Linked DNA regions of Anolis sagrei. The main gene of each other region encodes a partner of the protein of the gene in region 3 in a complex. Links are inferred from orthologs where the notes say so. Each region holds a gene or a part of one and is shown on either strand. Other genes may lie near its edges.

Region 1 (7,191 bases), on a different chromosome or scaffold from region 3:
CCAAAACACCCAGAGGGAGGGCCAGAGTTGGCCTAAACCTGATCTAGAGGCAGAATGGGCCTGAGGCTGTTGGGGATGGTGGGAGTTGGAGTCCAAAACACCCAGAGGGAGGGCCAGAGTTGGCCTAAACCTGATGTAGAGGCAGAATGGGCCTGAGGCTGTTGGGGATGGTGGGAGTTGGAGTCCAAAACACCCAGAGGGAGGGCCAGAGTTGGCCTAAACCTGATGTAGAGGCAGAATGGGCCTGAGGCTGTTGGGGATGGTGGGAGTTGGAGTCCAAAACACCCAGAGGGAGGGCCAGAGTTGGCCTAAACCTGATGTAGAGGCAGAATGGGCCTGAGGCTGTTGGGGATGGTGGGAGTTGGAGTCCAAAACACCTGGAAGGAAGGCCTAAGTTTACCCAAATCTGATCTAGAGGCAGAATGGGCCTGAGGCTGTTGGGGATGGTGGGAGTTGGAGTCCAAAACACCCAGAGGGAGGGCCAGAGTTGGCCTAAACCTGATCTAGAGGCAGAATGGGCCTGAGGCTGTTGGGGATGGTGGGAGTTGGAGTCCAAAACACCCAGAGGGAGGGCCAGAGTTGGCCTAAACCTGATCTAGAGGCAGAATGGGCCTGAGGCTGTTGGGGATGGTGGGAGTTGGAGTCCAAAACACCTGGAAGGAAGGCCTAAGTTTACCCAAACCTGATGTAGAGGCAGAATGGGCCTGAGGCTGTTGGGGATGGTGGGAGTTGGAGTCCAAAACACCCAGAGGGAGGGCCAGAGTTGGCCTAAACCTGATCTAGAGGCAGAATGGGCCTGAGGCTGTTGGGGATGGTGGGAGTTGGAGTCCAAAACACCCAGAGGGAGGGCCAGAGTTGGCCTAAACCTGATGTAGAGGCAGAATGGGCCTGAGGCTGTTGGGGATGGTGGGAGTTGGAGTCCAAAACACCCAGAGGGAGGGCCAGAGTTGGCCTAAACCTGATGTAGAGGCAGAATGGGCCTGAGGCTGTTGGGGATGGTGGGAGTTGGAGTCCAAAACACCCAGAGGGAGGGCCAGAGTTGGCCTAAACCTGATGTAGAGGCAGAATGGGCCTGAGGCTGTTGGGGATGGTGGGAGTTGGAGTCCAAAACACCCAGAGGGAGGGCCAGAGTTGGCCTAAACCTGATGTAGAGGCAGAATGGGCCTGAGGCTGTTGGGGATGGTGGGAGTTGGAGTCCAAAACACCTGGAAGGAAGGCCTAAGTTTACCCAAATCTGATCTAGAGGCAGAATGGGCCTGAGGCTGTTGAGGATGGTGGGAGTTGGAGTCCAAAACACCCAGAGGGAGGGCCAGAGTTGGCCTAAACCTGATCTAGAGGCAGAATGGGCCTGAGGCTGTTGGGGATGGTGGGAGTTGGAGTCCAAAACACCCAGAGGGAGGGCCAGAGTTGGCCTAAACCTGATCTAGAGGCAGAATGGGCCTGAGGCTGTTGGGGATGGTGGGAGTTGGAGTCCAAAACACCCAGAGGGAGGGCCAGAGTTGGCCTAAACCTGATGTAGAGGCAGAATGGGCCTGAGGCTGTTGGGGATGGTGGGAGTTGGAGTCCAAAACACCCAGAGGGAGGGCCAGAGTTGGCCTAAACCTGATCTAGAGGCAGAATGGGCCTGAGGCTGTTGGGGATGGTGGGAGTTGGAGTCCAAAACACCCAGAGGGAGGGCCAGAGTTGGCCTAAACCTGATCTAGAGGCAGAATGGGCCTGAGGCTGTTGGGGATGGTGGGAGTTGGAGTCCAAAACACCCAGAGGGAGGGCCAGAGTTGGCCTAAACCTGATCTAGAGGCAGAATGGGCCTGAGGCTGTTAGGGATGGTGGGAGTTGGAGTCCAAAACACCTGGAAGGAAGGCCAAAGTTTACCCAAACCTGATGTAGAGGCAGAATGCTGGCAGTTGGATGCCAGAGTATCTCAGGCCCCTTCCCCGCAGTCCCTAGTCCCAGATTATATATTAATTCCAGACTAAGTGGGCAGGGCCTGAGGCTGTCCATACCTGAGTGGGGCTGGGTCTCATGTGATGGGGTGGGGCGCCCCTTCCTCTTCCTCTGGGGTCTTGTGGGGGGGCGGGGGGTCCCCCTTGGGCGTGAGGGCGCGGAGGAGGCTCTTCCTGAGGAGCGGGTAGAGGCGGTGGCATCCGTCGAGTCCGAGGCGCAGGGCCCGTGCCCAGCTGTCCGGGGGGCCGCCTTCCCCGCTGCCCAGGAGGCCGGCCACTTGGTTGAGGGAGGGCAGGAGGGCCACGGTGAGGTGGGCGCGGGCGCGGCGGGTCTCGGCCTCGTCGGGCTGGAGCAGCCACTCTCCCCCTGCTGTTCCGGGGGCGAGGGCGAGGGCGCAGGCGGCGGGCAGGTCGAAGAGCTCGACGCCGGCGTGGGCCAGGGCGAGCCCGGAGGCGCAGAGGGCGGCGGCCAGCACGGAGCCCCCGTCCTGCAGCACCAGCGCGCTGACCTCCAGCTGGGCGCGCGGGTAGCGGGAGAGGCGGGCGGCGGCCGAGAGGGACTCCGTCAGCGCCTGCGCCAGGCACGGGTCGCGCTCCGATGACCACCGACGACGGGGCCCGCGGGAAGAGAAGGGCGCGCGCCGGAACTCGCACACCAGCCGGCCCCCCGACTCGCTCCCCGCTCCTCCTCCTCCTGCGGGGGCCTCTCGGGGCCCGTACACGCCGCACAGCACCTTCGTCCCGCCAGACAGCTCCACGAAGGCCGAGCCCTTGGCCTGGCTCAGCACCGCCGCCCGCGCGAACACCGCCTGCAGCGCGGAAGGGTCCCGCCCCGGCTTTTCAGGCTTCTTCTCCGCCTCCTCCGCCCCCTCGGCCACGAAGAGCAGCGAGGACTGAGACTCCTCCGGGCCCGGCACGCGGCGGTGGTCCAGCGGCATGGCAACACTCCCCTCACCGTCGCAGCCTCACAACAGGAAGCGGAAGGAGAAGCGGCGCCCACTGCGCCTGCGTAATCGCTCCCTCTCTCTCTCTGTCTCGCGCCCCCTGCTGGCCTGGAGGAGGAGGAGCAGGCTGCTCAAAGGACCACTCTCCTCTGAGCGCGCTCTCTCTCTCTCTCGCCCCCTGCTGGCCTGGAGGAGGAGAAGCAGGCTGTTCCTCTATTGATCTCTGCTCAGAAGAAACCCATTCTCACAAGGGGAAGCGGAAGAGGAAGCGGCGCCCACTGCGCCCTCTCTCTCTCTCTCGCCCCCTGCTGGCCTGGAGGAGAAGGAGCAGGCTGCTCAGAGGAGCACTCTCTCCTCTGAGCGCTCTCTCTCTATCTCGCGCCCCCTGCTGGCCTGGAGGAGAAGAAGCAGGCTGCTCCTCTTTATTGATCTCTGGTCAGAAGAAGCTCATTCTCACAAGGGGAAGCGGAACAGGAAGCGGCGCACACTGCTCCTGCGCCCTCTCTCTCTCTCTCTCGCCCCCTGCTGGCCAGGAGGAGGAGGAGCAGGCTGCTCAGAGGAGCACTCTCTCTCCTCTGAGCGCTCTCTCGGGGAAGCGGAAGAGGAAGCGGCTCCCACTGCGCCTGCGCCCAGGCTCCCTCTCTCTCTGTCTCGCGCCCCCTGCTGGCCTGGAGGAGGAGGAGCAGGCTGTTCCTCTTTATTGATCTCTGGTCAGAAGAAACCCATTCTCACAAGGGGAAGCGGAAAAGGAAGCTGCGCCTGCGCCCTCGCTCCCTCTCTCTCTCGCGCCCCCTGCTGGCCTGGAGGAGGAGCACGCTACTCAGAGGAGCACTCTCTCCTCTGAGCGCTCTCTCTCTCTTGCCCCCTGCTGGCCTGGAGGAGGAGGAGCAGGCTGCTCCTCTTTATTGATCTCTTGTCAGAAGAAACCCATTGAGCAAGCATGGGCAAACTTGGACTCCAGGTGTTTTGGACTTCAACTCCCACAATTCCTAACAGCCGGTAGGCTGTTAGGAATTGTGGGAGTTGAAGTCCAAAACACCTGGAGGGCCCAAGTTTGCCCACACCTGCCATTGAGAATAGACATACAATTCATAGAATCCTAGAATTGGAAGAGACCTCCTGGGCCATCATCATCCAGTCCAACCCCATTCTGCCAAGAAGCAGGAAAAATGCATTTAAGCACCCCCGACAGATGGCCATCCAGCCTCTGTTTAAAAGCTTCCAAGGAAGGAGCCTCCACCACACTCCGGGGCAGTGAGTTCCACTGCTGAACGGCTCTCACAGTCAGAAAGTTCTTCCTCATGTTCAGATGGAATCTCCTCTCTTGGAGTTTGAAGCCATTGTTTCGTGTCCTAGTCTCCAGGGAAGCAGAAAACAAGCTTGCTCCCTCCTCCTCCCTGTGGCTTCCTTATACATGGCTATCATATCCCCTCTCAGCCTTCTCTTCTTCAGGCTAAACATGCCCAGTTCCCTAAGCCGCTCCTCATAGGGCTTGTTCTCCAGACCCTTGATCATTTTAGTCGCCCTCCTCTGGACACATTCCAGCTTGTCAATATCTCTCTTGAATTGTGGTGCCCAGAATTGGACACAATATTCCAGGTAAAGTGGTCTAACCAAAGCGGAATAGAGCATGGGGAGCATGACTTCCCTGGATCTAGACACTAGGAGAGAGAGTGAGTTCAAGGAGTGGCAGCAACCAATAGTGAAATGACCAAGGCAGTGACATCTCCAGCTCACCCCGTTTGAGTATCAGCCAGCATGCCAACGACTTAAAGCAAGAAATAGTTTTCTAATATCTATAGAGACACTCGCTGGAACACCTCAGCAAACGAGACCCCAAAAGTGGCAGGCTCAAACCCTGATAGTTTAAGAGGCCCTGCTCTCGGTCCCACCAACGTCACAAACAAAGCTGGTGGGGACGAGGGACAGAGCCTTATCAGTAGTGGCCCCCGCCTGTGGAATTCACTCCCCAGCAAAATTAGATCACTGAAGACATCTGCCTTGCGCTGTGCTCCTCTGCTGCTGAGTATGCATGTCCAGTGTGGAACACATCTCACCATACTAAAACAGTGGATGTGGCTCTTAATGAGACATGTCACATTATCATGGGGTATCTGCGCCCCTCACCACTGGAGAAATTACACTGCTTAGCCGGTATTGCACCACCTGACATCCGCCGGGAAGTGGCAGCCAATAGTGAAAGGACCAAGGAAGTGACATCTCCAGCTCATCCCCTGTTTGGGTATCAGCCAGCACGTCAACGCCTTAAATTACGAAATAGTTTTCTAAGATCTACAGAGACACTCGCTGGAACACCTCAGCAAGCGAGAGTCCAAAAGTGGCAGGCTCAAACCCAGAACCTCAACCAATGGCTGATACCCAATGAGAGACTCCCCCTGGGCACATTTGGCCCAGCCATAGTTTTTAAAGTGTGTTGTCCTATTTGATAATGCTTATGTTATTGTTTTGCTGTTTTAAACTGCTTGTATTGTTGTTGTTATTGCTTGTATTGTTGTATTTTGGGCTCGGCCTCATGTAAGCCGCACCGAGTCCCCTGGGGAGATGGTAGCGGGGTATAAATAAAGTGTTATTATTATTATATGTTCTAGAGCAGTGGTTCTCAACCTTCCTAATGCCGCGACCCCTTAATACAGGTCCTCATGTTCTGGTGACCCCCAACCATAATATTTTCGTTGCTACTTCACAACTGTAATTTTGCTACTGTTATGAATGGTAATCTAAATATCTGATATGCAGGATGTATTTTCAGTCACTGAACCAAATTTGGCACAAATACCTGATATCCCCAAATTTGAATATTGGTGGGGTTGGGGGGTGATTGATTTTGTCATTTGGTAATGGTGGAGTTGCTGGGATTTATAGTTCACCTAAAATCAAAGAGCCTTCTGAACTCCACCAGTGATGGAATTGAATCAAACTGGGCACACAGAATTCCCATGACCAAGAGAAAATACTGGGAAGGTCTGGTGGACATTGACCTTGAGTTTTTTGGAGTTGTAGTTCACCTACATCCGGAGAACACTGTGGACTCAAGCAATGATGGATCTGGATCAAACTTGGCACAAATACTCAATATGCCCAAATGTGAATACTGCTGGAGTTTGGAGAAAATAGGAGTTGTAATTGTTGTGATTTATAGTTCACCCGCAATAAAATAGCATTCTGAACCCCACCAATAGAATTGGACCAAACTTTCCACAGAACCCCCATGACCAACAGAAAATACTATGTTTTCTCATGGTCTTTGGCGACCCCTCATGACCCCCATGGGGGTCCCGACCCCCAGGTTGAGAAACACTGTTCTAGAGGCATTCTCTCCTGATGTTTCGCCTGCATCTATGGCAAGCATCCTCAGAGGTTGTGAGAAGCCATTCTTAAGCACAACGTGCCATTGTTGACACATCAAGTTGCAATTAAAAATAGCAACACATGCAAACTACTCTTCTTGGCTGTGCAGAAAGGAAAGGAAATGACTGTGGCTGGGGCAAACTTTTGTTGAGAAGGCTTTCATGGCCGGAATCACTGGGTTGTTGTAGGTTTTTGTGGGTTGTAGGCTTGAGCATATCACACTGCAGCATGGTTATATGTAATGTGCCCATGTGCCCATTGCTTTTGTTTCTACAGCAAGACACTCACTTAAATAGACATCTGTTTATTCAGCATGGAACCTGGTGAAGCACAGCTCCTCGTGCCAGAACACGCCTGGCTTGGGCTTGGCTACAACAGAGGTTAATACTATGAATGAAGGAGGGGCTTTCACAGTTACAGAGATAAGGGATGAAATGACCGAAGTGTTGAGCCTTGGCCCCGCGCATGCAAAACGCCCCAAGCGCTTGAGCACGGACAGAGAATTCGTGGGCCATGTCTTATTGCAAACTGTACAAAGACATTCAAGTTTAGAGCGTCAGGAAGTATGTGACTTGTATGTGCAAGGAGATTTTTACCACATTTCGATTCGAACTTGTGCCGCCACAGGCTCCCACGTTCTGTGCTCAGGGCATTTCCTGGCACGGCCGCCTGGCTTGGTTAGTGCCTGAGCGGATGAGCTGAGAAGGACAACAATGCACGTAACGTTGTTTCCAGTTATCACTAAGCTGTTAACCTACTGGCGGAGCAGACAAGGGCTTCCTTGCCTGGATCTCTTCCCTGAAGGGGGGGGGGGGTCAGTTCTTCAGCTCGCCCAGTTTCAGCTTGGCAAAGTCCGTGGCCACCTCCAGGACCTCCTTCAGGCAGTCAGTGTTCTTCCCGGTCGCCTGAGCCGAGAGGTCCTTCCCGCCCCCCTT
Region 2 (7,557 bases), on a different chromosome or scaffold from region 3:
AGGAAGGAAGCCTCAAAAGGAATCCTAAAAGGAAGGAAAAGGAGGAGAAAGGAGGAGAAGCTGGAGAAGGAAGGAAGGGAAGGGAAGGAAGCCTCGAAAGGAGAAGGAGAAGCTGGAGAAGGAAGGAAGGGAAGGAAGCCTCAAAAGGAATCCTAAAAGGAAGGAGAAAGAGGAGGAAGGAAGCCTCAAAAGGAAGCCCAAAAGGAAGGAGAAGGGCAAGGAGAAGGAGGAGAAGGAAGGGAGAGAGAAAGAGAGAAAGGAAGGAGGAGCTGGATCCCCCGCCCTCCAACCCCCAAGTGCCAAGTTCTAACTGAACGGCTGCCTGTGCGCGCGCTTGGCTTCAGGAGGAAAGGAAAAAGGAGGGGGGGACTTCACTTGGAAAGGGATTTCTCTTTGGGGAAATGGAGTTGGGGTCTGATTTTTGGGGGGATTAAAGGTCATCTCTTGGGCCACCTTTGGGCCAAATTTGGGCGGGGAAAGCCGTCGGGGAGGGCGACGGGGTTGGTGCGTAAAAGTCGCCTTTGGCGACTTTTACGCACCAACCCCGTCGCCCTCCCCGACGGCTTTCCCCGAAACGGATGGGACAACAAAGGCTTTCAAAGGGGTCTCTCGGCTCCCCTAACCATTGGGGAGAATGACCTCAAGGTGGGGGTCGCAATCAGCCCCCTCCCTTTGCAGAAACGCCTTCCATTTGAGGCACCAAACATTTTACGCACCAACATTTTACGCACCAAGTTTTGTGCGCTTTTCCCAAACTTTGCGCCCTTAGAATTTGGGATAATTTGGGGTCAATCATAAGGGGGTGTCTTTTTTGCACCCCTAACTTTTTGGGGAAAGTGGGTGGACCCCCTCCCCCCCAAATTAAGACCACTACTTTGCATGCCAACCTTTGCATTTGGCGCAAAATCATTTGCGACTTTTTACGCACGAATAACTAGCCTTTCTCCCCAATTGGAGGAGCAAAAAAGGGGGTGATAACGGGGGTCTCCTGGCACCCCTAACTTATGGGAAAGTGGGGGGGGGGGATAGGTTGGCCCCCTGTCGTTGCTTAGGCGCCATTGCGGGTGTTTTGGAGTGGGCTTGGCTGCTCTCCTTGCCTTTCATTGGAGGAGACGTGTTGACACACAAGCTCTTGCCTCCTCCTCTTGCTTTTGAAGATGAGAGGTGACTTAGGACTCTATCACTTCCAGAATTCTGGGGTTTGTAGTTTAGTGAGACTGTTAAAGTTCAATGTATTGTCGAAGGCTTTCATGGCTGGAATCACTAGGTTCTTGTGGGTTTTTTCGGGCTATAGAGCCATGTTCTAGAGGCATTTCTCCTGACGTTTCGCCTGCATCTATGGCAAGCATCCTCAGAGGTAGTGAGGTCTGTTGGAATTAGGACAATGGGTTTATATATCTGTGGAATGGCTGGGGTGGGGCAAAGAGCTCTTCTCTGCTGGAGCTAGGTGTGAATGTTTCAACTGACCACCTTCATTAGCATTTGAAGGCCTGGCTGAGCCTGGGGGAATCTTTCGTTGAGAGGTGTTAACATGTGCCTGGTTGTTTCCTCTCTGCTGTTTTGCTGTTGTAATTTTAGAGTTTTTTTTAATACTGGTAGCCAGATTTTGTTCATTTTCATGGTCTCCTCCTTTCCGTTGAAATTGTCCACATGCTTCTTGTGGATTTCAGTGGCTTCTCTGTGTAGTCTGACATGGTGGTTGTTGGAGTGGTCCAGCATTTCTGTGTTCTCACATAATATGCTGTGTCCAGGCTGGTTCATCAGGGGCTCTGTTTAAGTTGTTGTTCATTCTTTCAGTCATTTCTGACTCTTCATAGGGCTTGCTCTTCAGACCCTTGATCATTTTAGGGAGAGTAAAATGATCGAGGGTCTGGAGAACAAGCCCTACGAGGAGCGGCTTAAGGAGCTGGGCATGTTTAGCCTGAAGAAGAGAAGGCTGAGAGGGGATATGATAGCCATCTATAAATATGTGAGAGGAAGCCACAGGGAGGAGGGAGCAAGCTTCCTTTCTGCTTCCCTGGAGACTAGGACGCAAGGGAACACTGGCTTCAAACTACAAGAGAGGAGATTCCACCTGAACATGAGGAAGAACTTCCTGACTGTGAGAGCCGTTCAGCCGTGGAACTCTCTGCCCCGGAGTGTGGTGGAGGCTCCTTCGTTGGAAGCTTTTAAACAGAGGCTGGATGGCCATCTGTCAGGAGTGATTTGAATGCAGGCATGTAGCCGGGGGGGGGGGGGAGGGCTTGGGGGGCTTGGACCCCTCCCGAAATTCTCATGGTGGTTCACGAAAAGGCCTTCCTGGTGCATTATTTAAACTGTTATGTTTATTCATATCATGATCTGATCACCCTACGCAATATATCCCATATGCATGGGGGTATTGGGGTAACAATACAAAAGGTTTGCTAGGGTAGACCTGCTTTCACTCAGACTCAGCCCCCCCCCCCCCCCCGAAACAAACTCAGCCCCCCCCCCCCCCGAATCGAAATCCTGGTTACGGGCCTGTTTGAATGATGCATCCCGTTTAGATTACTGCAACGCTCTCTACGTGGGGTTGCCTCTGAAGACTGCCCAGAAGCTTCTATTAGTCCAATGTGCGGCAATCAGACTACTAATGGGAGCGGGGTACAGGGAGCATACTACTCCTCTGTTGCGCCAGCTCCACTGGCTGCCAGTCAGCTTCCGAGCACAATTCAAAGTGCTGGTCTTAACCTATAAAGCCCTAAACGACTCCGGCCCAATTTACCTGTCCGAACAGGTAACAGGTATCCTTCCCTATGAACCATCAAGATTGCTAAGATTGTCTGGAGGGGCCCTGCTCTCAATCCCACCGGCCTCACAGGCGCGGCTGGTGGGGACGAGAGACAGGGCCTTCTCGGTGGTGGCCCCTCGACTCTGGAACTCAGAAGAGATCAGAACTGCCCCTTCGATCTTAACGTTCAGGAAACAGGTGAAAACCTGGCTTTGGGGATTGGCATTCGACGAATGAGCCATGACCCTGTGATATGGATGGATGACGACGAATAATGATTTTTGATGACGACTGACCACTGTAATCACATGACTGTATTTTTGCTATTTTAATGTTTTAGTGTGATTTAGAATATGATGTTGTAATGACTGTCTGTAATATTGATGTTGGAAAGCGGTCTGGGTCCCTCGAACGGAGGTGAGAAGACCAATATACAGAACTGCTCAATAAATAATTAAAATAATAAGAATAATTCAGAAGTTGTAATGTTTACAAAGAAGGAAACATCGCTATGGCGCCCCCTCTCGCTACAGGCGCGCCACTGCAGGCCTTGGCTCCTCCCCTTCCTCCTCATTGGCTGTCTTTATGTCCCCGCCCCTTTGCTTCCCCCGCCATTCCTCGTCTCCCTCTCGCTAGAAGCTCCTCCTCCTTATTGGCTCAGTCGCAGAAAAGGGGCGTGGTTATCGTTGCGACCCCGCCCCCTTAATGCTCCTTCCATTTAGGCGCCTCTCTGTGCTCTCTGCTTCAAGCCCCTCCCCTTCTTCCCTATTGGATGGGGAGCAGGGAAGGGGCGTGGTTATCGTTCCGGCCCCGCCCCTTGCTGCTCTCTCCATTCAGGCGCCTTTCTGTGCTCTCTGCTTCAGGCCCCTCCCCTTCTTCCCTATTGGATGGGGAGCAGGGAAGGGGCGTGGTTATCGTTGCGACCCCGCCCCTTGCTGCTCTCTCCATTTGGGCGCCTTTCTGTGCTCTCTGCTTCAGGCCCCTCCCCTTCTTCCCTATTGGATGGGGAGCAGGGAAGGGGCGTGGTTATCCTTAAGTCCCCGCCCCCTAGCTTCACCCGCCAGAGAGGTGCCTTCTCTCTGCTCTCGCTTCAGGCCCCTCCCCTTCTTCCCTATTGGATGGGGAGCAGGAAAGGGGCGTGGTTATCGTTCCGGCCCCGCCCCCTTGCTGCTCCATCCATTCAGGCCCCTCCTCTTCTTCCCTATTGGCCGGGGAGGAGGGAAAAGGGGGCGTGGTTATCCTTCAGGCCCCGCCTCCTTGCTGCTCCCTCGCCATTCAGACGCCTCTCTCTGCTCTAGCTTCAGGCCCCTCCCCTTCCTCCCTATTGGATGGGGAGCAGGGAAGGGGCGTGGTTATCCTTAAGTCCCCGCCCCCTTGCCGCCCCATCCATTCAGGCCCCTCCTCTTCTTCCCTATTGGCTGGGGAGCAGGGAAAGGGGCGTGGTTATCCTTAAGTCCCCGCCCCCTTGCTGATCCCGCCATTCAGGCACTTCTCTCTGCTCTCGCTTCAGGCCCCTCCCCTTCTTCCCTATTGGATGGGGAGCAGGGAAGGGGCGTGGTTATCCTTAAGTCCCCGCCCCCTTGCCGCCCCATCCATTCAGGCCCCTCCTCTTCTTCCCTACTGGCTGGGGAGCAGGGAAAGGGGCGTGGTTATATTTAAGTCCCCGCCCCCTTGCTGATCCCGCCATTCAGGCCCTTCTCTCTGCTCTCTCTTCAGGCCCCTCCCCTTCTTCCCTATTGGTTGTGGAGCAGGGGGTGGGCGTGGCTACCCTTCCTGGTTCCCGCCTTTCTCTTTCCTTGCATGATGGCGGGCCTGGAGCTGCTCTCTGCGCAGGGCTTCCGCGTGGACGGGCGCCGGGCCGGGGAGCTGCGGCAGGTGCGGGCCCGCATGGGGGTCTTCGCCCAGGCAGACGGGTCCGCCTACCTCGAGCAGGGGAACACCAAGGCCCTCGCCGTCGTCTACGGGCCCCACGAGGTAGGAAGGCAGGGGGTGGGTTCCTAGATCTAATCACCTCTCCACAAAAGATTCCCCCAGGCACAGCCAGGCCATCAAATGCTGAGAGGGCTTAGATGGGTTTATAGATCTAATCACCTCTCCACAAAAGATTTCCCCAGGCACAGCCAGGCCATCAAATGCTGAGAGGGCTTAGATGGGTTTATATATCTAATCACCTCTCCACAAAAGATTCCCCCAGGCACAGCCAGGCCATCAAATGCTGAGAGGGCTTAGATGGGTTTATAGATCTAATCACCTCTCCACAAAAGATTTCCCCAGGCACAGCCAGGCCATCAAATGCTGAGAGGGCTTAGATGGGTTTATATATCTAATCACCTCTCCACAAAAGATTTCCCCAGGCACAGCCAGGCCATCAAATGCTGAGAGGGCTTAGATGGGTTTATAGATCTAATCACCTCTCCACAAAAGATTTCCCCAGGCACAGCCAGGCCATCAAATGCTGAGAGGGCTTAGATGGGTTTATATATCTAATCACCTCTCCACAAAAGATTTCCCCAGGCACAGCCAGGCCATCAAATGCTGAGAGGGCTTAGATGGGTTTATAGATCTAATCACCTCTCCACAAAAGATTTCCCCAGGCACAGCCAGGCCATCAAATGCTGAGAGGGCTTAGATGGGTTTATAGATCTAATCACCTCTCCACAAAAGATTTCCCCAGGCACAGCCAGGCCATCAAATGCTGAGAGGGCTTAGATGGGTTTATAGATCTAATCACCTCTCCACAAAAGATTCCCCCAGGCACAGCCAGGCCATCAAATGCTGAGAGGGCTTAGATGGGTTTATAGATCTAATCACCTCTCCACAAAAGATTTCCCCAGGCACAGCCAGGCCATCAAATGCTGAGAGGGCTTAGATGGGTTTATATATCTAATCACCTCTCCACAAAAGATTCCCCCAGGCACAGCCAGGCCATCAAATGCTGAGAGGGCTTAGATGGGTTTATAGATCTAATCACCTCTCCACAAAAGATTCCCCCAGGCACAGCCAGGCCATCAAATGCTGAGAGGGCTTAGATGGGTTTATATATCTAATCACCTCTCCACAAAAGATTCCCCCAGGCACAGCCAGGCCATCAAATGCTGAGAGGGCTTAGATGGGTTTATAGATCTAATCACCTCTCCACAAAAGATTCCCCCAGGCACAGCCAGGCCATCAAATGCTGAGAGGGCTTAGATGGGTTTATATATCTAATCACCTCTCCACAAAAGATTTCCCCGGGCACAGCCAGGTCATCAAATGCTAATCGAGGTGGTCAGTTGAAACGTTCACACCTAGCTCCAGCAGACAAGAGTCCTTTGTCCCACCCTGGTCATTATTCCACAGATGTATAAACCCTAGCTCCAGCAGACAAGAGTCCTTTGTCCCACCCCAGTCATTCTACAGATATATAAACCCTTTTTCCTCGTTCCAACAGACCTCACTACCTCTGAGGATGCTTGCCATAGATGCAGGCGAAACATCAGGAGAGAATGCCTCTAGAACATGGCCATATAGCCCAAAGAAACCTACAACAACCCAGTGATTCCAGCCATGAAAGCCTTCGACAATGACATCTAATCACCTCTCAACAAAAGATTCCCCCAGGCACAGCCAGGCCATCATATGCTGAGAGGGCTTAGATGGGTTTATATATCTAATCACCTCTCAACAAAGGATTCCCCCAGGCACTCCGAGGCCATTATATGCCAATCAAGGTGGTCAGTTGAAACATTCACACCTAGCTCCAGCAGACAAGAGTCCTTTGTCCCACCCTGCTCATTATTCCACATATATATAAACCCTTTTTCCTAGTTCCAACAGACCTCACTACCTCTGAGGATGCTTGCCATAGATGCAGGCGAAATGTCAGGAGAGAATGCCACTAGACCATGGCCTCTGTGCCTGTTCAAAAGATTCCACATCACTTTCAGTTCCTGTGAGAATGGGATTTTGAAACATTTAGTTTATTGTGGAAACAAGGGTGGGAGGTATTTCCTGGGTGAGGAGGGCAGGCTAGATGACCCCCAGAGGCCCCTGGACTACCCCCGTCTCCTTCCTCTTTCCTGCAGACGCGGGGCTCGCGGTCCAAGGCGCTGCACGACCAGGCGGTGGTCAACTGCCAGTTCAGCCTGGCCACCTTCAGCACCGGAGAGCGCAAGCGGCGGCCCCACGGTGACCGGCAGACCTCCGAGATGAGCCTCCACCTCAAGCAGACCTTCGAGGCCGCCATCCTCACCCAGCTCTACCCTCGCTCCCAGATCGACATCTACGTCCAGGTGGGTGACCGGTAGGTTTCCATGCACCCCCTTGGAAACAGTCATCTAGGAGTCTTTGCAGACCCCAAGCAGAACGTGAGCCAAGAGAGTGATGCGGCAGCTCAAAAGGCCAATGCCATTCTAGGCTGCATCAGGAAGAGTTTAAAAATGAAATAGGTATAGAATGGGTGACCCCTGAAGGGACCCCAAAGGCCATCCAGTCCAACCCCTTTCTGCCAGAAAGGAAGACACCATTGGAATATGAAAACAGTATCTAAGAGTCTCAGGAGAAGACAAGCTGAACTTTTTTCTTCTCTTTTGTCATTTACACAATCAAATAAAATTATATTTTTAAAAATCAGTGGAATTCTGTGTTGGAGGCTTTTAAACAGAAGCTGGATGGCCACCTTTCTGGGAGGCTCTGATTGTGCTTTTCCTGCATGGCAGGAGGGGGTTGGAATGCATGGCTTTTGCAGTCTCTTCCAACTCTATCATTATGATTATTTTACCATTTTTCTCCTTCGCATTTGGCCCAGCTCGCCCCTATTTAATTCT
Region 3 (7,974 bases):
TTCTATTTTCAACCATCTTTATTTTATCGATAAAAAATACAAAGATGGAAGAAAAAAGAGACCCATTTAATCAAAGGGGATGATAGATATGTCTCCGAATTCCACATGGATTCAAATGGAAACAAGCAATATGGTTAAGTCAAATAACTTAATTTTTAGAGTTATTAAAATATATTTTTATAATTAATGCTACTACACACCTTTTCACCAGCAACAACACAGAGAGATTCAGTATCTATACACTTCGAATTCCTTAGGCATCTTTCTAACAGTCGATTCAGTTTTACAAGTAACTCAGGCTGTCTAGAATTAAAAAATAAACCTTTAGTTACAAATAATTAAGAAAGACAAAACATTTCTTGAGGAAGCACTGAATGTTATTACTAGGGAGAAGTAGGGTCACATACCTTCCAGGCTCAAATGCAGGTGATGCCATAGGAGAGAGTTCAAGATTAAAGAAAAGTATGCCCTCCGTCGCACGATTTGGCTTTGGGGTGACAAGCTCACAGGACACTTGTCCAAGAATCCTACAAAGAGAAAAGCCACCACATAGGCGAACTTTAAGAGTAAAATTTCAACTGATTGCTTACATGTTTAAAATAACAAGGCGTTCTAAAATTCACATTGTCTTATTCAGAGTTGACATTAACTTGATACAATTAATTGCCAGAAGACATACAATGATATTATGCATATGATTCCCTGTATAGTAATAGAAAATGCAGATGTGGAACACTGAATGTTTACCATTTTGTGATACGTGTTTTAACACTGTTTTTGGAAGCTGTTTTGGATCTTACTCTGGAAGAAAGGTGGAGTATAAATACAGGGCCCTTCTACACAGCCATATAACCCAAAATATCAAGGTAGAAAATCCCACAATATCTGCTTTGAGCTGGATTATCTGAGACCACACTGCCATATATTCGACAATGTGGGATTTTATTCAGCTATATGGAAGGGGCCTGAGTCAGATGTTCTAAGTCCGTCAGTGTTGTCTGCATTCTCCAGGTTCCAGGCAGAGGTTTTGTTACCTAAAAATGCTGAAAACTTCATCATGCAAATTTTGTGCTCTTAGTAAGTTATGGTCCTTTGCACATAATCCTTTCATGTACACTTTTCATTTCCACATTGTAGTTATCAAGACAGTAACTTGGTCATTTGTCTCAGTTAAGGACAAACGAAGGCATCAACTGAAGGCAGATAGCCACATGTGCAACAAGGTAGGAGCAATCAATAAGTGATGGCCATATCCCCTATTCTGAGGTACCTCGTTTTTCCAAGCTCCACAATACAGCAGCCATAGTCAGAGCCAAAGGAGATGCGAAGATTTCTGTAGTCATAGCACTCTCGTCCATCAAGACGCTGTAAAGACAAAACAAGCTAAAATTACAGATGTGAAATATGGGACTGTGGAAAAAGTCAACTAGAATCATAGCATTGAATGAGAATTCATGGGCTATCCAGTCCAACCCCTGGCCAAGAAGCAGGAAAATCACATTCAAAACACTAAATTATATGTACACAGTGAAACCCACTCTTACAGTCCTGAACTCTAGGTTTGCCAACTGTGAAGAGTTTGCATGCCTAAATCCACTTATATGGTACAGAGGTAATTATTTTCCTTATTTCGGCATTTCCATAACTCATCTTCAGGGGCTGACTTTCCCCTCTAGAGCAGCAATTAATAACACTGAAATCCTACAAAGCAGGAAAGAAGATTATAGATGAATCTGACACACTGGGTGTCTTTCACACTACACAGTTAGTGTACTTTGATACTACTTTAACTTCCAAAAACGGATCCTACAGAATTTGGGTACTTTGGTACAGTAAACCACTTTGAGTCCCCCTTGGGGTAAGAAAAACAGTATACAAATACTGTAAATAAATAAATAAGTAAATAAAGCTCTCTAGCAGAGAATTCAAAGAACCCTTCCCTAAATGCAAACCGAAAGATTCCACAGGAAGGCACCATGGCAGCTAAAGAGGTATCAAAATTCTATAATATTTAGTATAAAGAAGACCAGAGTGTCGCATCAGTGAAGTTAACAATAATAATAATAATAATAATAATTCATTTGTTGCCCATCTCTCCTCACAACTCAAGGTGGGGGTATAAAACAGCCAAAACACATTTACCAAAATACATTAATATAACAATTAAATATATCAATAGAATGCAAACTTGAAATGCAGAGTTCAAAATTAATTGGTTGTCAGGGAAGCTGTATGCCCATGTTCAAGAAGCATTCTCTCCTGACATTTCACCCACAACTATGGCAGACATCCTCAGAGGTTGAGGGGTCTGTTGAAAACCAGAGTTTATATCTCTGTGGAATGTCCAGGGCGGGAGAAAGAACTCTTGTCTGTTTGAGGCAAGTATGAATGCTGCAATTGATCACCTTGCTTAGCACTGAATAGCCTTGCAGCTTCAAGGCTTGGCTGCTTCCTGCCTGGGGGGAATCCTTTGTTGGGAGGTTGATTAGCCGGCCCTGATTGTTTATTGTCTGGAATTCCCCTGGAATGACTTCTAGCATTCAGGGCTGGAGAGTGGATTTTAATACTGACTCCTGAAAAGTACAGAATCAGGTTGATCTCTTTTGTCCTCAAACCTTGCTTCGACATTTCAGTTTCCTAATATGTGGCTGGAGATGCATCTACACTGCAGAATTAACACAGTTTGAGGCCATTAATCCGGAGAGCCGTCGTTTTACAAGCCCTTTAGCCTCGTCTGCTCAATTGTGCTGTCGTCTCACCAAACTACAACTCCCGGGATTGAGCCAAAGTGGCATGAAACCGCATTAACTCTACAGTGCAGATCCATCAGACCCATGACTACAATCTCTTCTTCTCTCTCTCGCTAACGCACCTTCCGCTCCTCGATGGCTTTCAGCAGGAAGCGCTTCTCGCAGTTGGACAACGGCGTTTCCTTCATCGCAAGGCCGGAGTGTTACTGCCGCCTTGATTTGAGGCCGCGCTGCTCTTTTCCGGGTTCCGCTCTGATGACGTCATAGAGCGGGCGCACTTTAAAAGCGTCGCTTCCAAAGCATAGCTTCCTCGGCCAATAGGAAGGAACGTTACGTCATCGGGGAGGGGAGGGGGAGGAGGAAGGATCTCTCCTATTCTTGCCTATGTTCTATCTTTGGTGAACTTGGAATTCAAGGGAGAGAGACTTTGGCATCACTGTCACTGTCAACTATTGCTTGGTGCCAATCATTACTACTAAACTGAAACTTATTACTGCTACATGTAATGAACAGGCCATCTTTGTGTTGCTGCTGCTATATTGCACCCCAGGCCTGTGCAAACTTGGCCTCAGGAAGGGGCCTGAGGCTGTTAGGAATGGTGGGAATTGAAGTCCAAAACACCTGGAAGGCCCAAGTTTGCCCAGGCCTGTTGTATCCTTTCTAATTTTATGCTTCTATGTGTTTGATTATATTATGTAATGTTTGTTTGTAGGATTAACGTAACTCAAAAACCACTGGACAAATTGACACCAAATCTGGACACAATACACCTATCAGTTCAACAAGTGTCCATCACTCATAAAAAACACAGCAGAAGGGACTTAAAAAGCTAAAAAAACCATCCGAAAAACATTACAACGCATGTGCAAAACTACATAGGTTAAGGTAAAGGTTGTCCCCTGACATTAGATAGGTAAAGGTAAAAGTTTTCTCCTGACATTAAGCTCAGTCATGTCTGACTCTGGGGTGTGGTGCTCATCTCTATTTCTAAGCCGAAGAGCTAGCGTTGTCCATAGACACCTCCAAGGTCATGTGGCCGGCACAACTGCATCGAACGCCGTTACCTTCCCGCCGGAGCGGTACCTATTGATCTACTCACATTTGCATGTTTTCAAATTGCTAGGTTGGCAGAAGTTAGGGCTGACAGCAGAAGCTCGCGCCGCTCCCCGGAATCGAACCTGCAACCTTTTAGTCAACAAGCTCAGCAGCTCAGTGCTTTAACCCACTGTGCCACCGGGGGCAAAACCACATATATATACGCAAACACACACATATATATATGTGTGTATATACATATATATACACACAAAGCATATACAGACAGACTGGGCCACAGCAACACATGGCAGGGGACAGCTAATGTCCCAAATGCACTTTACTAGACATTTAAGATAGTCTGCACACCGCACCAATCTCCAAAAACCTATTCATTTCACCTGCCATGTCCAACATTTTTTAAAATTTTTAATCATTACATTTGGCCCGGCCTTAGTTTTAAATGCGTCATGGTGTTATTGTCTAATGTTTATTGCTATTGTTTTAATGTTTATTGCTTGTTTTATGAGTTTATTTATTGTTGTATTTGTTATGCTGTTGTTTTATTAATGTGTTGGGCCTCGGCCTCTTGTAAGCCGCACCAAGTCCTTCGGGAGATGTTAGCCAGGTATAAATAAAGGTTTATTATTATTATTACAACTTATCATATAGTACAATACAGGGTTAGTCAAAATGAATAGGCCAAACATACATACAATTAATTTTCTTATTGGCCTATTCATTTTGACTAACCCTGTATATTATATACTACTAGTAGTATAATATTCTGGTAGTGTGTTAAATATATTGTGATATACTAATATTGTAAATATAATAATATAATAATGATATATTACATGTAAAGCTACTAATAATATTGCAGTATAGTGGTATAGTACAATATAGTAATATTGAATACTTATATTGTGCAATGCTAAGAATATAATACAACAGAGTCTCACTTATCCAACCTTCACTCATCCAGTGTTCTGTATTATACAACGCAGTCTGCCTCCCGCCAGGATCCACTGCTGCTTCAATACATTGCAATGTTCTGGTGCTAAATTTGTAAATACATTAATTACGACCTAATGCTACTATGTATTGAACTGCCTTTTCTGTCCATTTCTTGTTTATTTACTATATTTATACCCTGCTCTTCTCAGCCCCAAAGGGGACTCGGAGCGGCTTACAGATTATGGCAAAATTCAATGCCACATTATACAACAAATAATAAATATAACATATTAAATTATAAAACAAAACATATAAATGCAATAAGACAGATTAAAACATGGTTTTAATGGAGCAGGTGTTCCATCAGGGGAGGAATGAGACTCCAAACCGGGGTGGCAGTGTTCACTTGAGAGGGGGTCCAGCTGAATCAAGGGCTACAGCTAGAAGAAACAAATGTCGGTATCTCTGTGCAGACCCATGGATGCTGAAATGCAAGCCAGTCAAGACAGAGTCCAGTAGGACCAAATGGTCCCCAGAGGCTGAGTGAGAAGCTGAGCCAAAGGCAGCAAGGGAAACAAACACTGCCCCTTCCCTCAAAGCCCCTGGTGATGGTACCTTCACTTCTTGCTTAGGCCTGAGGCCCTGCAGGCGTGGTCCTTTTTATTACTGTAATGCAAGGAGGTAACTTGCAAATATGATATAAAATTAAAAGGTGGGGCAAAAAAAAAAAGATTCTAAATAGTCCTTACTATTTCATTCTCAGAAAAGTCTGTATCATTCAAATAGCTTCTAGGGCTGCATTTGGCAAATCTGTTTGCATTTTCTGAAAAGCCTGCACTAAACCCATCAAAGTCCACTTTTTGAGGCATTTAAACATTTATTTAATATGGTAATCCAAGGATGTTGAGTTGCCTTTCTCACCAAGTTTACTATTCATCTATGATTGCATCCCGTTCCCTTTGGAAATCAGAGAGAGAACATCTCACGGTGTTTAGTCGTAAACGGATTGTGCTTTAACTCTGATTGACATGTTAATGAATTTCTGTCTGCTCTCTAAATCTCAGAGGCTACATTTTGCACAATAATCACTCACTGTATATACCTTATGAATGGAAAGGATGAAGCTGACTCTTCTCGCTTGTTTATTTAATATATACATAGCTGCACAGCTACATAGTCTTTCGGCAGTGTTACTTGAGAGAGATCCCATAGACAAAATCAGAGTGTGACCTAAATATTCTTAGGCTGCAGCTCCCATCATCCCTCCCCATTGGTTTGGCTGGCAAAGACTGAGGAAGGAGCAGACCTCACAATCTCTGAGAATGCTTGCCATAGATGCAGGCGACATGTCAGGAAAGAATGCTTCTGGAACATGGCCATACAACCTGAAAAACTTACAGCAACCCAGTCCAAAAACATTTATAGGGTTGCCTATTTTAGTGTTGCCAAGTTTCCAAAATACCAATAAAGGAAGTTGAAATTCACGACAATTAAGAAACAGCCACCTAAATGAGTTGTGGGCCCTTTCCACACAGCTGAATAAAATCCCACATTTTCTGCTTTGACCTGGAATTTATGGCCATGTGGACTCGGATAACCCAGTTCAAAGCAGATACTGTGGGATTTTCTGCCTTGATGACTGGGATTTATGGCTGTGTGGAAGGGCCCTTTGATCTTGTAGTGAGATGTCCATAATTGATTTATTTCTGTACAAAGAACAACATGTTTTTGAACACCTAGTAATCAAAATAATGGCTTTGTTTTAAACATTTTAACTCCCATGTTTGTTGTTGTTTATTTGTTCAGTCGCTTCCAACTCGTCATGACCTCATGGACTAGTCCACGCCAGAGCTCCCTGTCGGCCGTCACCACCCCCAGCTCCTTCAGAGTCAAGCCAGTCACTTCAAGGATACCATCCATCCATCTTGCCCTTGGTCAGCCCCTCTTCCTTTTTCCTTCCTTTCCCCCCAGCATCATTGTCTTCTCTAAGCTTTCCTGTCTTCTCATGATGTGGCCAAAGTACTTCTTTGCTTCTAATATCCTTCCCTCCAATGAGCAGTCAGGCTTTATTTCCTGAAATATGGACTAGTTTGATCTTCTTGTGGTCCAAGGCATTCTCAGAATTTTCCTCCAACACCACAGTTAAAAAGCATCTATCTTCCTTCCCTCAGCCATCCTTATGGTCCAGCTCTCACATTCGTCGATTACTACGGGGAATACCATTGCTTTAATTATGCAGATCTTCGTTGCCAGTGTGATGTCTTTACTCTTCGCTATTTTATTGAGATTGGTCATTGCTCTCCTCCCAAGAAGTAAACATCTTCTGATTTGCACCTAGAAATACAAAGTTTGTCACTGCCTCCATGTTTTCTCCCTCTATTTGCCAGTTATCAATCAGTCCGGTTGCCAGAATCTTGGGGGGGGGGGGGGGGGTATGTTTAACAGCAACCCAGCTTTTGCACTTCCTTCTCTCACCTTAGTTAGAAAGTTCCTCATCTCCTCCTCGCTTTTGACCATCAAAGTAGTATCATCTGCATATCTAAGGTTGTTAATGTTTCTTCCAGCAATTTTAACCCCAGCCCCGCACATTGCATGATGTGTTCTGTATACAAATTGAATAGGTTGGGTGAGCATATACAACCCTGCCATACACCTTTCCCAATCCTGAACCAGTCTGTTAATCCATGATGAGTCCTTACTCCCATGTTAGGGGTTGTTTATGTTTTCATTGTGAGTACAAATGTAAAGACTAAGTGTCGCCTAAGGGCTGAGAACAGTGGTATACAAATAAAGTAAATAAATAAAGACTATATGAAATAGCATTTTGAATTAATCACGCTCCACATACAGGATAAGTCTGGTGTACTCTGGATGTGTTCAGTATGTGATTTAAGCAAGGCAAGGTTGTTGTAATGGAATCCATGTTGGAATACTGTACAGAGGGGAAAGACAGAAGATTTATGTACCATTGTACAGAAACTGTAATAACATGTAGCCTCATGTTAGCCATTGAACATAATTGAACATAAAAACAATAGTCTATTCTATCTAGAATTCAGAGATGTGCATTTCTGTGAAAGAGAAATAAAAGATACTTATTTGTGATTACAATTATTACTATATCTATAATGCCTTTACCCAATCAATGAAGAGTGATGGCTTTACATTGTAATGATGACTTTTGAAGGGATAACTTCATTGCTTTTATGACGTACCCGTTAACTTTTCGTTA
Region 4 (7,208 bases), on a different chromosome or scaffold from region 3:
AAAACTACAACCAAAGTATCCCTGACAGATGGTCACCCAGCCTGTTTAAAAGCTTTCAAGGAAGGAGCTTCCACCACAATCCAAGGCAGAGAGTTCCACTGCTGAACAGCTTGTAAGGGCAGGGTTGTAAATTCTTCCTAATGTTCAGGTGGGATCTCCATTCCTGTAATTGAACCCTTTATTCTGAATCCTAGTTTCCAGGGCAGCAGAAAACATGCCTGCTCCCTCTTCCTTATGGCATCCTTTCATATATTTATACATAGTGATCATGTCTCCTCTCAACCTTCTCTTCTGTAAGCAAAACATGCTCAGTACTTTAAGACGCTCCTTATAGGCCTGGTCTCCAGAATTTTGATCATTTTAGATGTCCTCCTCTGGACACCTTCCAGTTTGTCATTATCTCTTTTGAACAGTATTCCAGGTGAGGGCTGACCATAGCAGAACACAAAGGCTTCCCTTGATCTAGACACTATACACCTTTTTGATGCAGTCCAAAATCCCATTGGTTTTTGTAGCTGTTTCACCACACTGCTGGCTCATGTTCAACTGGTTGTCCATGAAGACTCCAAGATCATTCTCACATGGACTGTTGTCAAGCCAGGCATCCCCCATCCTGTCATCTGTGGATTTCTGCTTAAATGTAGTATCTTACATTTGTTCTTGTCAAAATTCTTTTTGTTAGTTTTGGCCAATCTGCGCTCTAATCTGTTGAATCATTTTGGATTCTGATCCTGTCACTGGAGCATTAGCTATCTCTTCTAATTTGGTTTCATCCGCAAATTTGATAAGCATGCCCTCTAAACTTTCATCCAAGTCATTAATAAAAATATTGAACAGTACTGGGCCCCGGACAGAACCCTGTGGCACCCCACTAGTCACTTCTTTCCAGGATGAAGAGGAACCATTGGTGAGCCATCTTCACAGGTGCAACTTGTGGGGTTGAAAGAGAGGGACTTTTCTGTAGTGGCCCCTTGACTCTGGAACTCACTCCCCAAAGATATTAGGAACCCCTCCCCCATTGGCAGTCTTTAGGAGCTTGAAAACTTGCTTGTTCCAATGTGCCTTCCCTGAATGAAAGATGAATAATTCCCTGATCTGACCAATTCTCTGCAAAATATCCTCTGTAGCACTTTATTCTACCTGTTGGGGCAATCACCCCTACCCTACCCTCTAAAACACCTGTTCAGACTAATTTCACTGTTGTCACATCCAGTGTTTAAAATTTTTAATCTAGTTGAATTGGCCCTGTCCAGTGTTGGATCCTTGTGTTTTTAAATGTTGTTTTATTGCTGATATGTTATTTATAATGGTTTTGTATTGTATTGTATTTTTTGTTTTATTTTATTGCTGTGTTGGTTTATACTGATGTGATGTATTGTCGGGCTTGGCCTCATGTAAGCTGTCCCGAGTCCCCTTGGGAAGATGGTGGCGGGGTATAAATAAAGTTTTATTATAATAATTATTATTTTGTTCATTCAGTTGTTTCCGACACTTCGTGACTTCATAAACCAGCCCATGCCAGAGCTCCTTGTCGGCCGTCACCACCCCAGCTGCTTCAAGGTCAATCCAGTCACTTCAAGGATACCATCCATCCATCTTGCCCTTGATTGGCCCCTCTTCCCTTTTCCTTCCATTTTCCCCAGCATAATTGACTTTCCTTTCTTCACATGATGTGGCCAAAGCTTTCCTTTCTTCACATGATGTGGCCAAAGTACTTCATCTTGGCCTCTACTATCTTTCCCTCCAATGAGCAGTCAGGCTTTATTTCTTGAAGTATGGACTGGTTGGATCTTCTCACTGTCCAAGGCACTCTCAGAACTTTCCTCCAGCACCAGAGTTTGTCATTGCTCTCCTCCCAAGAAGTAAGCGTCTCCTGATTCCCTGGCTGCAGTCTGCGTCTGCAACCAGGGAATCATCTTTGCACCTAGAAATACGAAGTTTGTCACTGCCTTCATGTTTTCTCCCTCTATTTCCCAGTTGTCAATCATTCTTGTTGCTATAATATTGGTTTTTTTGATGTTTAGCTGCAACTCAGCTTTTGTGCTTTCTTCTTTCACCTTGATTAGAAGACTCCTCAGCTCCTCCTCGCTTTTGGCCATCAAAGTGGTGTCATCTGCATATCTAAGGTTGTTAATGTTTCTTCCAGCAATTTTCACCCCAGCCTTGTACTCCTCAAGCCCCACACATCACATGATGTGTTCTGCATACAAGTTGAATAGGTTGGGGGAGAGTATACAACCCTGTCATACGCCTTTCCCAATCTTGAACCAGTCTGTTGTTCCATGGTCAGTTCTTACTGCTGCGACTTTGTCCTTATACAGATTCCTCAGGAGAGAGACAGGGTGGCTTGGCATCCCCATACCACCAGGAACTCGCCACAATTTAGTATGATTCACACAGTCAAAGGCTTTAGAATAGTCAATAAAACAGAAATAGATGTTTTTCTGAAACTCCCTGCCTTATTATTATTTAGTACCAATTATAGATCCACCTCATTGTAGCATTGCTTAGGCCACATATGATTAATTTGTTTGCAAACTATATAACCTACAGCACTTGGTATAACGTTATATATAAACAAAATCCTTCTGTCAGTTTACTTGAGCAACTCTTAGACAGCGCTCCACTCCCATAGGGTACATATAAGAAGTGCTCAAGCGCGCATGCGCAGTCTGGCCCTCGCGCTTCCTTACCCGCCTCTGCTGAGAGTCTACCCAATAAACGCCTCCAGAGCCACTTCCGGGGCCGCGGTAGCGTAGTAGGCCGCATTTCGTAACCAGCAGGCCTTCTCCACCGCGCCTCAGGCCCGGCCCGCACACCAGCTTCCCCTTCTGAGGCCCGTTGGCCGACAGGCGTAGCCGCTCGCTGTCCGCCTCTGCGTGGCCCGGCAGGAGCAGCGCCTCCCCCGGCAGCACTACTCGCCCGACCCGCTCCTGGGCCTCGCAGGCGCCGACGTCCGCCATGACTGCGCGAGCGGCCGTTGAGGTCTCGCGGGATCCGTTTGCGCATGCGTAGCTCAGAACCCTCTGTCTCCACTGGTCTCCTTGGAACTGGCGACGTTCACAAAGAGCGACGGACAAAAGTTTGGAATGCTGGCAGTTGGAGGCCTCCGTTTGTCGTTGGCTGCAGCCAGGCCTTTTGACAAGGAGTACCAGGCGTCCCTTTTCCGAGACTCTCTTGCCTTGTAATCTGAATACACAGCAGATTCCCAAACTCTGCACCTCCAGGTGTTTTGGACTTCAATTCCTAGAAGCCTCAGCTGCCTTGGCCAATGATCAGGGATTATGGGAACTGAAGTCCCAACCTGGAAGGCCAGTTTCTGGAACACTAGGTTTGTTAGGTTCTTGTAGGTTTTTTCGGGCTATAGGGCCATGTTCTAGAGGCATTTCTCCTGACGTTTCGCCTGCATCTATGGCAAGCATCCTCAGAGGTAGTGAGGTCTGTTGGAAATAGGACAATGGGTTTATATATCTGTGGAATGGCTGGGGTGGGGCAAAGAGCTCTCTGCTGAAGCTAGGTGTGAATGTTTCAGCTGACCACCTTCATTAGCATTTGAAGGCCTGGCTGAGCCTGGGGAAATGTTCTGTTGAGAGGTGTTAAGATGTGCCTGGTTGTTTCCTCTCTGCTGTTTTGTTGTTGTAATTTTAGAGTTTTTTTTAATACTGGTAGCCAGATTTTGTTCATTTTCATGGTCTCCTTTCTGTTGAAATTGTCCACATGCTTGTGGATTTCAATGGCTTCTCTGTGTAGTCTGACATGGTGGTTGTTGGAGTGGTCCAGCATTTCTGTGTTCTCATTTCTGTGTTGTCAGACTACATAGAGAAATGCCTCTAGAACATGGCCCTATAGCCCGAAAAAACCTACAAGAACCTAGTGATTCCAGCCATGAAAGCCTTCGACAATACTAGGTTTGTTATTCACGAAATATTTCATTTTAAATGTTTGTGGAAGTCTGCAACTATGGTTTTAAAAAATCACTCCAGTTTTGAGTTGGATCAACTGTGCTATTTATATTTATTTATTTAGGTAAAGGTAAAGGTAGTCCCCTGACATTAAGTCCAGTCATGTCTGACTCTGGGGTGTGGTGCTCATCTCCATTTCTAAGCCAAAGAGCCAGCGTTGTCCATAGGCACCTCCAAGGTCATGTGGCCGGCATGCCTGCATGGAGCGCCGTTACCTTCCCGCCGGAGCGGTACCTATTGATCTACTCACATTTGCATGTTTTCGAACTGCTAGGTTGGCAGAAGCTAGGGTTGACAGCGGAAGCTCACGCCGCTCCCCGGAATTGAACCTGCGACCTTTCGAACAACAAGCTCAGCAGCTCAGTGCTTTAACCCACTGTGCCACCGGGGGCCTCCATTTATTTATTTATTTACTTTATTTGTATACCGCCCCTCTCAGCCTTGCGGTGACAAGGCAATGCCACAGAGTACAAATACAATTTAAGACATTAACGTCAATAAAATCATAACAACAACAATACAAAAGTAAATCAGTAAATCCTCAATAAAAACATTGTCCAATTACATCGTATAGTTGTTCCGTTTTCCTATGTCCATTACTCAATATTTGCAAATGCTTTTATCCCACTTTTCTCCCGTGGGTGGGATTCAAAGCAACGTACAGTGTTAAAAACCAATAAAAAATTACAAACAAAAAATTCAACAGAAACATAAACTAAATAAACAAATCGCACATTTCATAACCCATATAAAACAAATTAATAATTTACAACATTTATTTATTTATTTTATTTCCAACATTTCTACCCTGCCCTTCTCAACCCCCAAGGGGGTGCTCAGAGTGGCTTACGCTAGCAACACTGGCAACAATTCAATGCCATGACATGCAGAGAGATACAACAAATATAGCAACAATTTAAAAACAATAAAAAGCGTAAGTTAAAACAATTTAAAATGTTATTATTGAACCACATAGCCACTTCCAATCCAGTTCTACATCCAAAGTGTTATCATGCCTATCCAAAGACCTGGTGCCAGAAATATGATTTCAGTTTCTTCCTAATAAAAGAAAGGAGAGACGAGGCCGACCTTATCTCACTGGGGAGCGAGTTCCACAGATGATGGGTCACCACCAAGAAGGCCCTGTCCCTTGTCCCTGCCAAACGCTTTTGCAAAGCTGACGGGGCTGAGAGCAGGGCCTTCCCAAATGATCTCAAACTATGAGGTGGAATGTAGAGGGAGATACATTCCGACAAGTAAGCTGGGCCGGAACTGTATAGGGCTTAATAGGCCAAGACCAGCACTTTGAATTGTGCTCGGAAATGGACTGGTGGCCAATGGAGCTGACACAGCAGGGCGGGGTGGTGGTGGTATGCTCCCTGTATGACGCTCCGGTGAGTAATGGACTAGCTGGAGTTTCCGAACAGTCTTCAAAGGCAATCCTACATAGAGTGTGTTGCAGTAATCTACTTGGGATATAACCAGAGCATGGAACACTGTGGCCAGATCAGACTTCCCAAGTATACTAACATATACCATTAAAATTCCCTAAACCTCCGGCCACTGAGGATATCTTAGTTGTGCTAAGATCCTAGAAACTCCCTTTTCTTTAGACAGTATAAAAACATTGCTTAGTCCTTTTTGGCCTAACCCCTATGATGTTTGTTTTGCTGCCTGTTCAGGAGATGTCGCCTCTCTGTCTCTGATAATTGGATTTTGAACAAAAATTGGCTTGTTGTGGACACAAAGATTGGTGAGAAAGCCTCAGTGGAGACACCTTTACTCTATGATCACTGTTCCAGGAGTGATGTTTTCTTCCAAGAGGTTGATTTCTCTCACTACCTGTTGTCTCACTCCCAGCCTTAACTATTTATAACTGAGTTATTTGTAAGTTGAATGCATGTAATTCAGGGATTGTCTGTACAGTGTGATTCCTCTTATCGACGGATTCAGTGCCCACAATCTCAACCCCTCAGAAGTGTTTGTGAATCTGTCTAAGTCCTCCAGCACAATCTTAACTACATCAGTGGTCCATGGACCACCAGTGGTTCCAAAGAACAAAAATATGATCCATGGCATCACCGTTAATACACCATTGCAACAAGAGTGACTGGCCTCACACAACCCTCTTATAGTGCCGAGGCAACGGGGATGTCAGGGGCAAATATGGGAAACATAAGCTTTGTATAAAACATCACAGTGTTTTATTTACTAAGCCCAAATATAAAAGTTGATTGAACACATTCTTGTGTGACTTCTCATATAGAATTTCTCCTCAGCATCTCACAATGAATGTGTGAAATAGAACAAAAAGACATGAAGTGTCAGGTTTCCCCAATTGGTTGCTGAATCTCTTCCTATACTGTCTTCCTTTTTGGTATGGAACATCAACCAAGGCAATTTTGCTTGTTTTTCTCTATCTGGCAAAGGCATAGAACTAGTTAACACGTATTTGGAAAGTCACGATAAATCTTTTTATATTTGTCTTGGGAACTAGAACAGTTTGGTTCATACTGTTTTGTGCCAAAGTACATACCTGCTCACTATTTTAAAAGATGTTTGACAGTGAACCTGGTAGCCAAAATCAGAGAAGTTGATACAACGGCGCATTCTACTACTAGCCCATCTTGATGCGCTCTACTTGACTGTCAGTGGCTCTCTAAAAGTGTCTGACCAAGCTTTCATCCCACCAACTGGACAGCCTTGGTATCTTTTCCTTTTCTCTCCTGCTTTTGCAGATGAGAGAACCTCTTCTTCCAAGAAAGTTGATCGACCTACACATCATCCCATTATTGAAGTAACACCTTTATTGCCATTAGTAGAAATTGGGCATTTCAGCATATGTAATACATACAACTGCCATGTGTAGATGGCTCATTTTTACAATGTACATAAACTATTTCCTGTCAAACATTTTTACAGTTTTTTGTAAACACGAATGTTTAACTTACACTGTTTTCATTTAGCTGGAATGAGATAAGCAAAGGGCAAGAGTATTTTGCTCTTGGCTTATTAAGCAGTGGTGACACCATCTGGCTGACAGTAGAAACACACAAAAAACTCAATCGACAAGAGTTTTGTGTAAGTTATAATTTCCCCTAAGTTGATAAAGCCTCTGCTTGTTTGATGGTTTGAGTGCTGAACTATGACACTGGGGGACTACAATGTCAATCCTTCCTCAGCCACAGAAGCCAACTAGGTGATTTTGGGAAAGTCATATTATCTCGGCCTCAGAGGAAGAAAAAG

What was found.
Region 1: EXOSC9 (region 3) and EXOSC6 share a complex: the UniProt entries of both Homo sapiens proteins name them as parts of the RNA exosome core complex. The link is inferred for Anolis sagrei from reciprocal best matches to the Homo sapiens genes EXOSC9 and EXOSC6.
Region 2: EXOSC9 (region 3) and EXOSC4 share a complex: the UniProt entries of both Homo sapiens proteins name them as parts of the RNA exosome core complex. The link is inferred for Anolis sagrei from reciprocal best matches to the Homo sapiens genes EXOSC9 and EXOSC4.
Region 4: EXOSC9 (region 3) and EXOSC3 share a complex: the UniProt entries of both Homo sapiens proteins name them as parts of the RNA exosome core complex. The link is inferred for Anolis sagrei from reciprocal best matches to the Homo sapiens genes EXOSC9 and EXOSC3.

The regions. Positions count from the first base shown.
Region 1 is NC_090028.1:43,418,877-43,426,067, forward strand, and holds the start of EXOSC6 (exosome complex component MTR3), read right to left. Parts: upstream 2,936-7,191; 5' UTR 2,882-2,935; coding exon 2,021-2,881; 3' UTR 2,004-2,020; intron 1-2,003. Other genes in the region: AARS1 (alanine--tRNA ligase, cytoplasmic), read right to left, coding at 7,072-7,191. UniProt on the Homo sapiens protein: Non-catalytic component of the RNA exosome complex which has 3'->5' exoribonuclease activity and participates in a multitude of cellular RNA processing and degradation events.
Region 2 is NC_090024.1:2,002,331-2,009,887, forward strand, and holds the start of EXOSC4 (exosome complex component RRP41), read left to right. Parts: upstream 1-4,550; 5' UTR 4,551-4,552; coding exon 4,553-4,726; intron 4,727-6,816; coding exon 6,817-7,023; intron 7,024-7,557. UniProt on the Homo sapiens protein: Non-catalytic component of the RNA exosome complex which has 3'->5' exoribonuclease activity and participates in a multitude of cellular RNA processing and degradation events.
Region 3 is NC_090025.1:36,466,865-36,474,838, reverse strand, and holds the start of EXOSC9 (exosome complex component RRP45), read right to left. Parts: upstream 3,016-7,974; 5' UTR 2,939-3,015; coding exon 2,873-2,938; intron 1,366-2,872; coding exon 1,271-1,365; intron 528-1,270; coding exon 408-527; intron 304-407; coding exon 201-303; intron 1-200. UniProt on the Homo sapiens protein: Non-catalytic component of the RNA exosome complex which has 3'->5' exoribonuclease activity and participates in a multitude of cellular RNA processing and degradation events.
Region 4 is NC_090023.1:155,253,691-155,260,898, reverse strand, and holds the start of EXOSC3 (exosome complex component RRP40), read right to left. Parts: upstream 3,008-7,208; 5' UTR 2,964-3,007; coding exon 2,694-2,963; intron 1-2,693. UniProt on the Homo sapiens protein: Non-catalytic component of the RNA exosome complex which has 3'->5' exoribonuclease activity and participates in a multitude of cellular RNA processing and degradation events.